3 linked regions of the Arabidopsis thaliana genome follow. The protein of the gene in region 2 interacts with the protein of the main gene of each other region in a pairwise test. Each region holds a gene or a part of one and is shown on either strand. Other genes may lie near its edges.

Evidence for each region.
Region 1: the proteins of SRO1 (region 2) and DREB2A interact in a two-hybrid assay, tested with the Arabidopsis thaliana proteins (one study listed by BioGRID).
Region 3: the proteins of SRO1 (region 2) and AT5G08720 interact in a two-hybrid assay, tested with the Arabidopsis thaliana proteins (one study listed by BioGRID).

Annotation. Positions count from the first base shown.
Region 1 is NC_003076.8:1,600,243-1,604,658, reverse strand, and holds DREB2A (DRE-binding protein 2A), read right to left. Parts: upstream 2,455-4,416; 5' UTR 2,290-2,454; intron 2,033-2,289; 5' UTR 2,010-2,032; coding exon 1,002-2,009; 3' UTR 620-1,001; downstream 1-619. Other genes in the region: AT5G05420 (FKBP-like peptidyl-prolyl cis-trans isomerase family protein), read left to right, coding at 1-9, 89-176, 266-307, 396-444, 541-619; AT5G05400 (LRR and NB-ARC domains-containing disease resistance protein), read left to right, coding at 4,290-4,416. UniProt on the Arabidopsis thaliana protein: Transcriptional activator that binds specifically to the DNA sequence 5'-[AG]CCGAC-3'. Binding to the C-repeat/DRE element mediates high salinity- and dehydration-inducible transcription.
Region 2 is NC_003071.7:14,916,144-14,922,146, reverse strand, and holds SRO1 (uncharacterized protein), read left to right. Parts: upstream 1-1,664; 5' UTR 1,665-1,973; intron 1,974-2,311; 5' UTR 2,312-2,414; exon of another isoform or gene 2,415-2,554; intron 2,555-2,838; 5' UTR 2,839-2,948; coding exon 2,949-4,054; intron 4,055-4,179; coding exon 4,180-4,424; coding exon of another isoform or gene 4,425-4,453; exon of another isoform or gene 4,454-4,714; coding exon 4,715-4,794; intron 4,795-4,895; coding exon 4,896-5,063; intron 5,064-5,141; coding exon 5,142-5,249; 3' UTR 5,250-5,457; downstream 5,458-6,003. Other genes in the region: DAD2 (Defender against death (DAD family) protein), read right to left, coding at 336-383, 477-560. UniProt on the Arabidopsis thaliana protein: Probable inactive ADP-ribosyltransferase that functions with RCD1 to regulate oxidative stress, hormonal and developmental responses. May regulate some stress-responsive genes. Seems to play a smaller developmental role than R.
Region 3 is NC_003076.8:2,840,862-2,847,101, forward strand, and holds AT5G08720 (polyketide cyclase/dehydrase/lipid transporter), read right to left. Parts: upstream 4,670-6,240; 5' UTR 4,475-4,669; coding exon 4,080-4,474; intron 3,850-4,079; coding exon 3,729-3,849; intron 3,267-3,728; coding exon 3,181-3,266; intron 3,004-3,180; coding exon 2,622-3,003; intron 2,523-2,621; coding exon 2,422-2,522; intron 2,273-2,421; coding exon 2,206-2,272; intron 1,931-2,205; coding exon 1,703-1,930; intron 1,621-1,702; coding exon 1,174-1,620; intron 1,090-1,173; coding exon 1,017-1,089; intron 935-1,016; coding exon 675-934; 3' UTR 547-674; downstream 1-546. Other genes in the region: ARI16 (IBR domain-containing protein), read right to left, coding at 4,963-5,674, 5,764-6,240.

The sequences.
Region 1 (4,416 bases), on a different chromosome or scaffold from region 2:
GGCAAAAGGGTATGAGCATTTAGTCCTAAACTGTTGTAGTTTGTGTGCAAATATTTGTTGGAGGTCAGTCTATTGTCTCTGAGTGCAGGTAAGTGTCCATTATACTGGAAAGCTTCAGGGGAATGGGAAGATTTTCGATTCCACCGTTGGAAAATCACGTTATAAGTTTCGTCTAGGTTGGTATTATAACTTGATGCGAAAGTAAGAGCTTTATTAATGTGTGAGTGGTACTTGGATACTTATGTGCTTGCTGTTACACATACAGATGCTGGAAAAGTCATTAAGGGATTGGATGTTGGCCTTAATGGTAACCTAGCTAGTTTCTTACTGGTTTTTCTTCACTAAATATGGTCAAATGGTGTGTTGTTTTGATCTCTTTTTGTAAATTTCTAAAGGAATGCTTGTTGGTGGCAAAAGAAAGCTTACAATTCCTCCAGAAATGGGGTAAAGCCTTTGCAAATCTTTTTTTATTTTTCCATAATGTGATGTTTTATTTTAAGCTTTTTTTAATGAGAGATGATAAAATTGTCTGGCTCACAGGTATGGTGCGGAAGGTGCTGGTAGCATTCCCCCTGACTCTTGGCTGGTCTTTGATGTCGAGCTGCTTAATGTTAAATAAAGCTGCCCTCTAATCCCTAGAGAACTTCCTAAGACTCAATCCAATGATGAGTTTTTTTGTGGAGATCGTATAGTTTTTCCTCTTACGATTTCAAATATTGTGAGACACACTAAGGCCCATAAAGCTTCACAAGTGTGTATTATTCATTCCTGTTGTTACAAAACATAAAACATATCTAAAGAACAACTTAAGAGAAGCAGACTAACAAACTATAGTTGTCTTCTCTATTGTCATATCACTGTTTCGATATATACAGTTCACCTTTATAACAAGAAAAAACGTGTTCTGTAGTTCTCTATATCACTAAAACTCGGATAGAGAATCAACAGTCGTTGTGGGATTAAGGCAAATATCAAATCCAAAAAGCTTCATATTGTTTTGTTTAGTTCTCCAGATCCAAGTAACTCAAGTCGTCGAAGAATCCATTACCATCCTTTCCCTCGAGCTGAAACGGAGGTATTCCGTAGTTGAGGCTTTGTAGCGGATCAAAACCACTTTGTTGACTCTCGGGCCTGTATGAACCGTTGGCAACACTGTTCCCCGGGTACCGGTCCTGATTTAAGCCTGCAAACACATCGTCGCCATTTAGGTCACGTAGAAGCTCATCGACATCAAACATGTCTGAAGAATCCAAGTGACTCTGATCCACATCATTGGGCCAACCATAGTCTGCAACAGATAGCGAATCCTGCTGTTGTTGCTGACAGGTTTCTACAATCCCTTGCTCCTTCTGTTTCTCTTTCTCTTTCAGAATATCACTCCAATAGTTATGTTCAAACTCGCTCAGCCAATGCTTATCCGCTTTAACACCTCTCTTCATCTCTTCCGCACCATTCTCCAGACAATACATCGGCTCCACTCCACCGGAGAAGGGTTTAGATTCACAATCTGGATCCTCTGTTTTCACATGAACACAACCAGGAGTCTCAACAGTACACACCTCAGACTGACTTGAGGTACTCGTAACCTCAGACGCATCAGACCGAGGGAAATTAAGACGAGCCAAAGGACCATACATAGCTTTAGCAGCCTCATCATAAGCAGAAGCAGCTTCTTGAGCAGTAGGGAAAGTACCAAGCCAAAGCCTGCTACCTCGATTAGGCTCTCTGATCTCAGCAACCCATTTACCCCAAATCCTTTGCCTAACTCCTCTGAAACTACATCGGCTATTCTCTGGTCCTCCTTTACCTTTCATACAACCCTTCTTCGACCCTTTCGCAGGTACTTTCCTCTTCTTGGTAGAAACTTCTTCTACGGTCTCGTTATACTCTTTCCATCTCTTTAATCTCTCAGCCACAGTAGTACCGTCACCTCTACTTCTAGATTTCCTTTTCCTCGATGTATCAATTTGTGTTCTGTTTCTATCTCCACTCTGATCATAAACTGCCATCTCCTTCCCAGAAACAACACAATCTACAATACAACAACACTTCAATATCAGAACACAAGCTGAAACATAAGGCAAGAGAACTTAAACTTGGTTCAAAATCAGATCGATTTACTTATTTGTTATCAAATTAGGAACACCTAAAATTTCCCAATTTCACAGCTATACCTAAAAGGAAATAATCGAAAACCTAAAGACGAAGATAAACCCTAGAATCACCAATTGACGAGACCTAATCAGAGAAATTAATTGAAAATTTGTAAGAAATCAGAAATCAACGTACCTATAGGGGACGAAATTTGAAAATCAAAGTCTCTTCCTTCGAGTTGATAAATCGCTTTCGTGTTTAGTCTTCTTGCTCGTATCTTTTCTTCTTCTTCTTGTGTGTAGCTTTTTCGAGTTTTCCTCTTCTTTTTATCAGACAGCTTTAGCAGAAATCAAAATATCTAAGGAAGACAAAGTATCTACGGAGTATTTATAGCCTTCTCTAGATTTTTCTAACATTATTTTATTTTTCTGTTTGAGAGCAAGGTTACGTGTCAGTTTTTGATTCGAACATAAAGGCTTAGACGACTTTTCCGTTCGACGAGTGTCCTCCCGAATCTTCTCGAAACACGCTGTTGATACGGAAAAGTAAAGTTTAAACCTTTTTAAAATTGATTTATGGATAAGATCATAAAACTACTTCATTATTTAAATATTATGAAATTTTAAAATATCTTCATTTTTTTTTTATTAACCCTGACAACACAACACTGTCTCATCTGCTCTTTCTCGATTTTTCTTGGTTTATTGCCAGTTTGCCACTGCATCACACTTACTAGATGTGTAATTGGATGATGATGTTTATTGCCTGTTTTTCTAGTTTTTACAAACGTGCACATTATTCAATTTTGTTTTGATGAGATACTTATCGTTTATATAGATATTTTTAAAAAGATCACGGTTAATATTGTAAAATTAAAGGTTTCCGGTGTACGTACGACATAGAGCGAATTCATAAATGTGTCAGCCAGAAATGTCTTAAACATGAAGTATTAGTTTAAAGTTTAAGCATTAAGTATTAGCTAGAGACGTGTCAAATGGTGAAGCTCAAACTTGGGTGGCTTAGCTTCGAGCAGAGGTGATAGGGTCCATTACCTTATAAAATTTGGGAATCGCAAGTTGTAGCAAAGCAGCAGTCATTTATAGCCTTTGCATGTGCCTCATGTGTCCTTTGCTAACCAAAGCCACTTCATCCACTACGTGTCTCTAACGGCATCGCTAACGTAAGCTCACGCAATTGCCTACGTACTTCAACCTCATGGGCCTTAGTTACTTAACATCCATTATCAAACCCATTGCCTACGTGATACAATCCCATGTGCCTCAGTTAATTAACATCCATTATCAAACCCTTAAAGCCCGTTAATCTAAATTAGCCCATTGGATGGGTGTCGTCCATTTTATTTCTACCGTCGGTGTTGCTACTATCTCGCTATCTCAAGCACGATCGGGTGAGCATCTTCTAGTCTAGTCGATTGAGCCTACAAGTTTCTATCTTCTGGATCTATATGAAATTTCAGTTTGTTTGTTTTTTTTTTCGCTGAAGAGAAATTTCAGTTTTTATTGGTCTAAATAAGGCATGAATTTGGAAATCTGTATCTACGAGTTGGTTTCTTCGCTGTAATGCTTGTTTGTTTTTGGTTTAGTGAACAACATTTGGATGATAAATTATTTGTGCGGAAAAAGCTGCAAGATGATGCCATGATGGCAACACTAATTTTGTTGCTGACTGTAGACTCTCTTTTCTTCGACGACCGTGAGAAGAGCTCTGTAAGTTTGGCTTCTTTCTTTCCATATTAGTATGAATAGGTTATTCGCGTGGCTATGAATCATTCAGCATTGTCTAAGGCCTAGGATCGATAGGGAGGAACGCATTCATTACAATGATTTAGGTTATCGATTACAAAACCATTATTGGAAAACGAGATGTAAGTAAAATGTTGACTTGGCTTGGCCAAACCACGTTAGAATTGTGTTAAGAAAAAACGAGCACATAGTGCTCACTAAACTTGGCTCTGTTAACATCCCAAGGGTCGTTGACCTTATGAAAAAAATGTTATCTTGGTTACAGTTCATTTTTAAAATAACATAAATATTTGATCGAGTCGTAGATGACTGGATGCCAAGATTGGTGGTCAACCCGAATGATCGTGCACACACCTCAGTTAATAAACTAAAACATTAGGAAAGGAATTTGTATATTAATCTCTCTGGTAGGAATTTGAGAATCTATGAGAGATGGGAGCCTGCTTCTCTGTGGCAATATCCTGTGACCAGGCTGTTAATAACCTTACAAGCTGCCTTAGCAGGAACCAAAATCGCTTCCGCAACCTCGTAGATCATGTAGCGGCTCTAAAGAAAACTG
Region 2 (6,003 bases):
TTCTTTAATACACAGAGAATTCAACACTGTTTATCAAGAAATTCTGTAGAATTTAACATGAGTCAAGAATTAAGCAACAAGAGTTTCTTTGATATAGTCCTTCAAAAAAACACAGATCAAACATTTCAACGACAAAGTAATGGATGATGCTATACAAATGAACACAAAAATTGCAAATCAAGTATATCAAATTTGAGTGTCTTTCTATTTGAAAATACACATATCAATACATATGAACATAAAAACTCATACATTTGAAATCCCCATATACATAAACGAAACGAAAAGGCACGGATCGAGAGGCACAGTCGAAGCAATAAAGGAGATTAGAGTACCTGAATCAAAGCTGTGAAGACCGCGAAACAAACATAAAGGTCGATGATCTACAAAAACAGAGTTCAAACAAGAACATTCAGCGGATTTTTCAATTTCAATGATGATTCATAAAAGATCAGAACAAAATGATAATGGTGGACCTTGAGATTCGTTGGTGTAGCGGTATAAGCAGAGTGAAGAGAATGGAAGAGATCCTGAGCATCCTTACTAGTCGATTTCACCATTTCTTCAAAGACTGACCAACACAGGCACAGCAAGCAAACTTTTCTCCTGCTTCTTCTTTTTCTCTTCTTCACGAGTCTGGTGCTCTCGCTGAAATGACGTTGTTTCAGGATTTGCTGATTAAAACGGGCTGTCATTGTTTGGGGCCTTTGGGCCCAAGCCTTTTTAAGTCTGAACTTCGAAACGTCGCCGTTTTGTTATGAGATATTTTCTAAATTATGTTTTCCACAGTTTGTAAATGGACTACCACTCGAGCTTGTTCGAAAAATCTTTAGACGTTACTCGAGGGCTCAATATGAATTTGGCGATTAATTTAAAAATCGGAAATAAATATTTAGGGTTATTATAATGTTTTTAAAACATTTTAATCTAATATTGTTTTGAAAATGGTAGTAAACATAAAAATATATTTTTAAGACAACATTTTATGTTTTTAGTTAAAATTTTGTACATAAGTTGCTATAATTTATCATACTCTTAATGTACATGTTTGAATAAAAAAGAAGTTGTTTTATATTTAAAATCTTAAATAATCAAGATATACAAAATTAGGTACGAAATAATCGGATTAGATGGAAGGTAATTAGATAACTGATTTCTTCAAGAGATTAATCATTCAATAAGGCAGGCAGAGTGGATGTAACAATTAAAAACGGAATAATCGGAGATACACTGAAATTTTTAGAATAAACACAACTTTAACAAATTCAAAGAGAACGTTTGTAATTTCCTTGTACAGCGTAAGGAAAGTTTAGATAAAAGATGTATATAATATAATAATTGAATGCATACGTAAGAGATGAGTTTATTTTCAAATTTAACGTAACCGAACAAAATAAGTTTTCTTCTAAATTCCGTAACATATGTCCTAACCACTCAAACTAAAACAAAAATTAAATTTTTTTCTGGTCTGAAGTATTAAAACCACAATCTTGACAAAATTGAAAATTTATTTTTTATGATAACAATTTTATAAATTTATATTATTGGAGCGATATCTGACAAAACTAGTTTAAAACTGAAAAAATGTCTATGTAACTATAATAGAGTAGTTTACAACACATTTATTTACTTGTTTATACTTGATAGTGAAATTGGCCGTGTTTGACCGGGTCAGAATTGATAGGTGACGGTCCAGTTAGAATTGGGCTTTGACGTAAAAAAAAAAAATGTGTAACTTTGTTCTTTGCCTAAACGATTGGCTTTGTGTCCAAGAGTAGACCGCCGACTTAGATTTTTTCGCCGACGAGAGAATATATATAAATGGCTCGTCTTTTTCCAAACGATTTCTTCTTCTTCGTCGTCGCCGGTTTAGGGTTTCCGTTGCTGTAGCAATTTTCTCTCGCTTCTCTCTCCCCTTTTACAGTTTCTCTTATATTGCTCTTGCCTTGCGTCCAATCTCAAGAGTTCATAAGGTTAGTTTAAATTTGTCTTTATTGATATAATCTATGATTCTGTGAATTGGTGTGTTACATTTAGTCGAAATTGTTGTGAATTGTGTTGTTCTTGAGATGTTTTGGTGTCAATTGATGGTTTATTTGCATAATTTTATTAGGGGTTTCGCTGAAAAGCTGAAAAAGATTGCTATTACATAATTTGTTAAGAGTGAAAATGTCTCGTCTAAGCTTCTGTTGTTATGATTCATGTATTCACCTAAACAGAAGAGAGCTTGTCTCGACAGCTTTGATAGCCTGTTGTTATTTGTTGGTCTGTTTCTGTCTTTGAAGGTTAAATTTTTTGGCTTGTCTTACAGAGTTGACATTTGTGAACATCGAAGAAATACGGTGACGTTTCTTCTCTGATTACTTTTTGCCAACATGAATACTAATGTATTTATCAACAAGTGCTACAGCCTGGTAAGTCTCAAGCTTTCCGATGAGTTTACCGTTCTATCTAGTCCGGATTTGTATCTGCAGTTTTGCTTCTTTGTTCTGTCATGTTTGTTATAAGATCTTGCCTTCTGAGTAGCTGAACCTCTTTTTTCATCCTTGTGTAGGTTAGTTGTCACTTCTTTCCTTTCTTGTAATCTTTCTTATATTGTTTTTCCTATGATTTGTAAAGGGATTTTACTGGTATCGATTCGACAGTGTTGTTTCAATTGAAACATGATGCTTTGTAGGAAAACTCATGAATAACTGTTCATATAGTTGCTTTCTGTTGGTGTTTATAGCAGTGTCTTTTTGTTAAGTAGGTTATTGCATGATGAGAGTCTTTTCATTTTTATTTTATATACAGTCACTGCACTTTTTTCATATCTGATGCACACCTTTCTTCTTGCAGTTTTTTTCGAAGCTGTTGGTGAGTTCCCATCCTTAGTACTGCTAGACAGTTCGGTGTGTTAGTTGACTTTATATTCAAGGTTATAGGTTTAGTGTTGTTAGTAGAGAAAAATGGAAGCCAAAATCGTCAAGGTATCGGATAGTAGTTATAAAGATGGTCTTGGGAAGAAGAGAAAGCATCCAGGGAACTATACTCCTTATGATTCTGGAAGGTCATATGCAAAGCTGCAATGGGTGCTTTCACCCAACAGTTCCACCCAGAAGCTTGAGAAAAGGAGAAATTTGGATGGTGAAAACAAAGTTATTGTTTCTGAGAATCATGTTGAGAAGTCTTTGGTCAGATACTTCTCTTATTATAAGAAGACAGGAGTGCCAAAACGTGTAATGTTCCATGAGAATGGTGAATGGATTGATTTGCCTGATCATATTCTATGCGACATCAGGAATGATCTTGAAGCAAAGAGAGCTACAATTGAGTTCAATTGGTGCGGTCGCCATTTTCTCCTGGATTTCTTGCACATGTATCGACTAGACTTGGAAACAGGTGTAAAAACCCAGCTTGCTTGGATTGATATTGCTGGCAAATGCTTTTTCCCTGAAACTTTTGACACCCTCGAAAGGGACGGCTGCCATCATATCCGTGGGGAAGATCCGGAACAACATGATCAACGTGAGATCAAGCTGCACATTGAAATTGATGTAAATAGTGGGGAGTTACCGAGGCTGAATTTGAATGTGGTCACTGACGAGTCTGGTGACAATATGGATGATTTTCAAGCTGTTCAGAGATCCTCAAATGGGCCAAATGACGAGGCATCAGAGGATAGCTGCAGCCGTGAGCTTGATGATGCTGTTGAGAAATGGGACAAAACAGAAACTGATCGGTTCTCTGGTGTCAAGCCTGCTGAGGAGGAGCTTGATAAAGATGCTGTCAAACAAATGTTTGCTTTGGGTGCTGCCACTCTAGGGCATGTAGAGTCGCTTGATGTGTATCAGTTTTCAAGCGAGATTGCAAAGGCTCGTCTATCTCTTTTCCAGAAGCAAGCTGACATCACTAAGAAACACCGAGGAGATGCAAACATTAGATATGCATGGGTTCCTGCGAAGAAGGAAGTGTTATCTGCCGTGATGATGCATGGACTTGGAGTGGGTGGAGCATTCATTAAAAAGTCTATGTATGGTGTTGGGGTTCACGCTGCAAACTGCCCTTATTTCAGGTTTTTATTCGCCCTCTATGCCAGTTCCTCTCTCATTTAGCCTGCCTTATGCTATTTTTGTTTCACTTTATAGTTCATTTGTTTTATGGTTTTATCTAAGCACATGTGAAAGATATTGTTTACAGTGCTAGATACTGTGATATTGACGATAATGGTGTGCGGCACATGGTTTTGTGCCGCGTAATAATGGGGAATATGGAGCCTCTTCGTGGTGATAACACGCAGTACTTTACTGGTGGAGAAGAGTATGATAATGGGGTTGATGATGTTGAGAGTCCAAAGCATTACCTTATCTGGAACATGAATATGAACACTCACATTTACCCAGAATTTGTAGTTAGCTTCAAGCTGTCTATCCCCAATGCTGAAGGTGATTACCATTTGTTATTTCTCCTGTAATTTCCATAAAAATCAACTGATGACGCATTGAATGGGAGACAGCATATAGATCTTACTGAAGATCAGCTATTTGGATCCTGAAATCTTCCTCTATAAGTTAGAAAAGGATCCACATCACCTTGTGACCTCTGGGGGTGGTAAACATACTTCATCATCCCAAGGGTCCAGTGAGATATCCATGGCTAATATATATGGGTATTTCGATGATCACATTTGTTTTCTGTAGTATTCGAAACGGGATGACATGTTTTGTTTGTGCAGGGAATATTCTTCCTACTACTCAGAGTAGGCACGAGAGTTCGGGACTCACCTTGGAAGGACCCAAAGGTTCTCCCTCAAATGTAAGTTGAATTGTACCTGATCAGATTCTCATTTTCAAGCAGTCATTGTTAATATTTGATATGGACACAAACGAGTAATGTTGCTTGTTTGTATGAAGCAGGAGCCAGGAAGGGTATCAAATGGAGGTTCAGGGAGCGAAAAGAATAGCTCCAGCAGTAGAAGGCCCAGATCTCCTATAATGCCTTTCCCTCTGCTGTTCAAAGCAATCTCGAGCAAAATTGCTCGTAAAGACATGGATTTGATAATTGCTGGTTACCAGGAACTCAGGGTAAATAATATAAACCATGTCTTTTACCAATAGTCAAGGTTATCATATTGTATTAACATAATCGGTGTGCTCTTGCAGGAGAAGAAGGTGTCGAGAAAGGAATTTTATAAGACGCTGAGTATGATTGTAGGAGATGATGATCTGCTGATATCTACAATAACAGGCCTTCAAAGGAGTTTGGGTTAGATTAATGTGTCGACTTCTCTTTGCTGTCGTGAAACCTTAATAGTTTGGATTACGACAAACGTGACTTGATCTTTAGAAACTTAGTAGTAGTACTGTTATATTTACTCTTTTGGTGAAACTAGTCTCCATTATCCTGTTTTTCTTTACTTGGAATCAAAGAGTCTTTTATTGATCAACAGCCTTGGTTCTTTGTGAGGTTTAATTCATCAGCTGGAAGTTATTCAACAGCCTTAGTTTTAAAAAGCGCGCTAATGGCGTGCCATGGCGCATAGCGCACCGATGCTCTAAGAATAGGGCAACAAGACGTGGAGGCGAGGCGACATCTATAATGCGCACGCCATACGTGAGCCTTGGCCGATGCACAAGGTGGCAAAGCGATCGCCTCTTGTGTTCAGGCGAAAACTCTTCGAAACCAACAACAGAATTCTGTGATTTTAGGGTTTGCACGAAGAAATGACTAGGAGGAATAGGATAAACCATTTTCTAAACCTAGCTGGTTAATACATGATTCAATTTAGCTGGTCAATACCTAATCCACGACTAGAAAGTTTAACCATGAGTTATAATTAGCTTATCAAACCAAATCAATCCTAGGTTTATCTTAAACTAAAACGGATTTGACCCTTACCTCTTAACCCACGACATTTTAACCAGTTAGAAGATGTAAAATCCCTAATTTTTCTAAATAGAACACCATAGACGATATAAGCTTGAAGGCTAAAACCATATGCAGAGAATCTGTTAATAGAACACC
Region 3 (6,240 bases), on a different chromosome or scaffold from region 2:
TTCTCCTGATTAATCTATATCAAAAAGAAAAATGTTGTTTACATGCATGTTTCTCAGCTGTTAGAGGGTCTGTCTAAATCTCGAGGAAGGTCCCAATTATTATAAGTCATAACATATAGAGCTATTGTATAAAGTAGTAAGATTCAAGATTGTCTCATAGTTTGCCTTCAATGTTAAACACCTATCATTTCTAGATTTATGCATGCATTTTATATTTTCTATTGATTTTCCCTTTTAAAATCTCGATTTTTTTTCCTTTTTCACATCACAATTCACATCCAAATATCTTGACCCTTTCTCTTCAGTCACGAGTCAAGACCTCTGAGACTTGGTTCTGTAATAATCTAAAACCTAGAAAGAAGTTTGTTTCTAATTACGTGTAACTTCATTTCACATTGAAGGAAGACAATGATGGGACTTTCGTTTTTTCTTAAAACCATCACTATCAAATTTCATTGACTTACCTTTACTTCTTTGTTCCTTGCTATTATCCTCCTTATTGTTCGGTGCTCTCTCACTCTATTTTATCAAAGTGAAATATAAACACTAAAAACAGATGAAACATTAAAAAGAGATCAGATAATTTCAATCCAATGTTACAATTTACATAAATACATGTTTATCTTTGCGAGTTACAAGACTACACAAATAGTGAAATGTACATAATTAATGCTTCAATATTGAACCCAATTGATATCAAGATCTTTAAGATTGTACAACCATTTCTCGGTATCTTGAGAGACGTAAGGTTTATTATTCTTATTAACCGTTGAATTTAAATCGGCCTCAGTAGATTCAGTTCTCAGTATCGTGTTACCGTTGTCTTTACGAGAATTTAGCTGCCTGTTTGGATGTCTCACGTTCAATGCTAAAAGACGAGATACTTCGTGTAATCCTCCCCATTTCTCGAGCGCCCGAGCAATGTCATAACGACCTGAAACAACAGACCAAATGTTTCTCAGACCAATCCGATTGAGAAGAACACACAGAGCTTAAATTGAGTTTACTGTTTGTACCTGCTCGTTCGAAAGATTTTCTGCTCGGCATAAATGATGGATCCATTCCCCAACTCTGTTGAAATCTTCCTATCTGCAACCACATGCAGAGGGAGAAGCTCTTGTAAACACCATGGCAACAGTGGTTTTAATTTTTGAACATGTCTAGAAACTTTACCTCCTCTTGCAAGTTTTCGAGATTGTCCCAATATCCTTTCGGTTTTCGGTGTTTATAAGCAAGTGAAAGATTCATCATCAAAGCTATTCTCCTAAATCCACCCATTCTTGTAATGGCTTTTTCAATGTCAACTCTTCCATGTAACCGAAGCTGCTTCCTCATGGGCATGAATCCTTCTTGTCCATGTTCTGATATGAACTTGAGAATTTCTGATTTCAAGACTTCAATGTCTCTTTGTAGACCAGGAATCCTCCGTCTCTGCTTAGTTTGGTCTGAACCATCATCATTATTGTAAACTGTCTCAACTGATTTGGCACGAGATGAAGAACATGTTTCCTCTGAAACTTGACATGTCTCCAGTTTACATGACTCTGAAGATTTCTCTCCTCTTTTCTCAATGTAATCCCGGATAGCGCATAAATTTGACGGAAGATCTTCATATATAACCTGAAAAGATTCAGAGAAAACATTGTGGTTCCAATAAGAAAAAAAAAAGATTGCACTGAACTCAGTCAATTGTAAGCCAAACCTCTTCCATGATTGCTTCAGAAAGAAATGAATCTTTTCTCATTTTGGACTCCACGGTATACTTGAGAAGTGTGTGGTGACTTCCTAGTTGTTCAAAAATCCATTTCCCCTCTAGCGAGTCAAAGTCTCCTTCAACCTGTTCAAATCTGATTTCCTGCTCACGAATCTCATGCAAATCGAGAACAGCTCTTGCATGAAGCACCATGTAAAGCAGGCCTTTGCATCCTTCCTGAAAACAGAATTCAGTTTTAGTTATATAATTTCTTGAAATCAAGAAAAGAAACATTGGCTTTGGCCAGTATCAGAATTTTGATCTTCAAGACCAGACTAAATACAGAGCCTTTCTGAATCATGAAAGAGCAAATTATGAGTCATATTTTGGCAACCAAATTCTCTCTTCAGATTTTTCCAGTGTTAGTACCCAATACAAGTACTTGTAGAATGATTCCTTCTAGTCCTTGCCAAATTTGATTACAAGGTAACCGTGGATGAGAATGCTCATACCTGAAGTATTCGGACTTTATTGTTATCGCGTGACAAAATCTTGCTGATTGCCAAATTTGGAACTATCCTGATAGGTTCATGAACAATAAACGCAGAAGAACAAGAGATATATATAAGCCAACACAACAAATATTTGAAGAAGATTGACAAGAAAATCCTCCTTAAGGTCAGAACAGTGAAGCCCGGATATGATAAATATATGTGTTCGGTACTTACTCTGGAAGACTCTCATAAGACGTTAGAACTTTCCAAACTTCACAAACAGGAGCTTTAACTGTTATACTAGCAACGGCGCATCGGTGAACACCTCCATTTTCCTTCATCCAAGAAAAAAACCACTGACTCATAAACACAAAAGATGGGAAAACTTTTTTTTTTCATAGTATATAGAGTAAGTTTTGAGCCAAACTACTTACCAATAGACCATCAAATCTACGAAGATGAACTTCATCCACGGTGCAAGGTTTATCAAGCTTGCAGGCTTTTCCATACACTCCCCAATTGTTGTTCAATTCATTTGAATGAGCTAATGATCCAACACTGGAGGCAACAGATCTCTCCGTAGCAAGACTATCGAACTCAATACCATTAGAAGGGGCTGGCTGTGAAGATATTATACCCAACAAATCTTCTATTATTGACGGCTTTCCGCAATCTTTATAAATTTTCTCAGCTTGGCGAGCTACGGCCCGGAGATTTACAGGAAGATCTGATCTGATTATCCTCTCTAAGAAAATGGCAGGGAAGTTAAATCTTGGGATTACGTTTACTTCGTATGACAAGACAGTTCCTACGGACCTGGAGAAAGAGAAAAACAAATGTTTGGAACATAGATGGTTCCAAAATGATCCGTGGTTAGAAATGCATAACAGACTGTTTACAGAAAGAATTTCTCTGATACACATTTATAGAGGATTTAATTTAAATGATGATAGGATGAGCACACAAACTTCTTACGGGGATTAATGAGTGTACCTGATACCAGATTTCACAGACCACTTTCCCTCAAACTTTTTGAAATCACCATCTACCATAGAGAAGTGAAGCTCACGACCATTTGGCTAATAAGATAATAGGAAAAACTACATTAATAGAGATGTATGGATTGAGAAACAAATGTAATATAAGAACTCAAGAGTAAAGATTAACTAATTAACCAAACAACAAAACTACTTGTTACAAATAACATCTTGTTGTACCCTAAGTAACCAATGCAATGAGTGCAAAGCAGGCTGAAAGAGAACTCATTAGAACCATGGATATTTTCAAGAGTAAACCTCACTATGATTGTTTTTTCTAGAACTAATAAGAGGTTAGGAATAAGGATCTAGAGAAAGTGGGAAGCAGGCAACTCCTTATCAACCATGATTACAGATCATCCAGTGTAAAGGAAACCTCTTGATTCTTAACAAAAGCTAAGATATGCATAAAAAAAGAGACCACAGAATCCGGAAGAGTTTGCAGGTTTTAGACTCAATCCCAATCATTCAGCAAGAGAAAAGTAAAGGCTTAAGAGTGCTCACAGAATCTAGACACTCATGGAGATCAAGGACAACACGAGCCTCAATATGCCAATACAAGGCTCTTTGAAGGCCTCGTTGCTCCAGCCATATACGTCCTGGATGTGGACAAGGAATTCTTCCACTACAAGTTGAAACAATATACCATCAACAAAGAGAGGTAACTAAGCATGGAGATTCAGCATTCTCTTGGAGACGTATAGTCATTGTATTCAGTATAAACAATTTCAATGGCATGAACCAGATAACATAAAAATTGAATCTTTAGAGATTATTCAGAAGAATTCTGTAGATAAACACAAACAAAATGATAAGAATCTGAAAGAAAAAAGTGGGTATTACTGAGGGAAGTACCTCCAAACGAGATTGGGTATGAAATCAGCAAGTCGTTCATAATCAGTAAGAACATTCCAAACAGATTGAGAATCAGAATCGACCCAGATTTCGCCTCTTATCCTCCGTTCTCTCCACGAGATCACATCAACCTCACAACGCACTTTTCTCTCTCCTCTCTCGTCGAAACCTAATCCACTATCTCTCCTCAACCCGTTATCACCTCTACCACCGGCGCCGCTATGTCTCGTTCCATGGCACTTGGCGACCCCGCCGCCGATCCCGGAGGTGGAAATGGACGAGAATACTCGAATCCGAGAGGGAGATGGGAGCAACACACTTAAAAACACTGGTTCATTGAGGAAATTGATAGTGTGAACGCCATGAGAGAGATGTGGAAACTTGCTCACTGACATTAGCGAAAGGTGTTCGACGAAATGTGTCAGTGTAGAGGAAGAAGATACTGTTGCAGAGTGTTACATTACCGTTAAATATTCTCAGCCACCGGATTTTTTCTTATTTTATATATTTGATGTATGGTTGAAATTCACCTTTTGTTCTTCAATAGACATTATATTCGAAACCATGATTTAAACTTTATTGTTCCTCTGAAGTTTTGTATTTGCATTTTCATGTTACAAAAAATATTATAACAAGGAAACACAAACATAAACACCAACAAACAACAACAACAACAACAACAACAACAACAACAACAACAAAGACTTAGAAGACAAATGCAACAAGACTCTTAAACCAATATGATGGATGATGATCCAACACAGAGAGGAGAAAGAGAAACAAAGGAGACTCTTAAACACAAAACAACACAAGAGAAGCTAAAACACCAAACGAAACCAGCATCAATCACTGATGAGACTTATCCTTTACTCATCACTCACTCTCACTCCGATTTTCCAAGGTCTTCAGGAGCTGCTGCCACTTGAGGAGAAGGATGATAGTCCAGGGGGAAAAAGCACATCTTGCACTGTTTATCAACCCAGCTGTTCTCAAACGTGCACCTATCACAGAACCAGCGACTGCCTGGTTCATTCTCGTAACCATCAGCCTTCACTTCAGGCTTACCATCTTCCAGTTCCTTGATGAATCCATCGAAGTGGTTACCAGTGCATGTTGTACTGATTTCCAACTTGTGCTTATAGTTAGTGAAATCTTCAGGTGAGAGGGCTAGATGTATCAACTCATCAAGCTTCCCTTCGTGCATACAAAGCATTGTGCTCGCCAGAGCTCGGAGGTGTTTCAGGTACTGCTTCTTCGTGCTTTCGTACTCGATTATAGAGTAATCAAATACGCAACTCCATTTCAGTACCTGCCTGCACTGAACACTAAGCATCCCTGCTTCTCTTACTGTCCTAATGTCCAGCTCGGTCGCTCCGCAGTTCTCGATCAGTTTCGGAATGATTTTTTCCTCTAAGGCTCTCAGCTTGGACTTAGCCTTCTTCAATGCTTCATGACCTGCCTCCCACAGATTCAGGTGGAGAATCTGTGAGAATTCAACGGTAGAAGGACCCGCAGCTGGAACAGCGACTGGAGAACAATTCCAGTTCCCCTGATGCTGTTCCTCCGTGCGCAAGCAGATCCAACAGAAGTTATTACTGATGATGCATAACAGTCAAGAAAACATAGTAATGAGTTTAAAGATATAATATTTTGCACATGTTTTAAAGCTCAGAAAGAAACAAACCTGCAGATACAATTAATGAGTCTGTAATTAGGATCACCATTCTGCTGCACAGGAATCTTGCACTTGGGACAACTTTTGGTGTTTGTATGGATCCAAGAAATGCTTCTTGACTGATCCAACAGGTACGTCCACCAAATTGATGCCTTTTTGCAAGACACCGGACGGTGTGACTCGAGCCCGCATGTCCAACAGAAGGTATGGCCGCACAAACAGACCACACTGATGACATTATCTTCATTACCATCCTCCTGAAGCTCGACGGCGTATTCACAACCCGAAGCAGGACACCATTTGATCGTTGCCTTGTGGCACTCCATGAAGGATTCGAGAATATAATTCTCGTACATCTCCTTCACTGGCTCTGTGAGTTGCTCGATCGTATCGGGTCCAACAGAGGCGACACAGTCTTGGCTAAGGCAAGAGATGAGTCCTCTCTGCTCCTTGTTCTTCTTCAGAGCATCGCTGAGATATTCACTC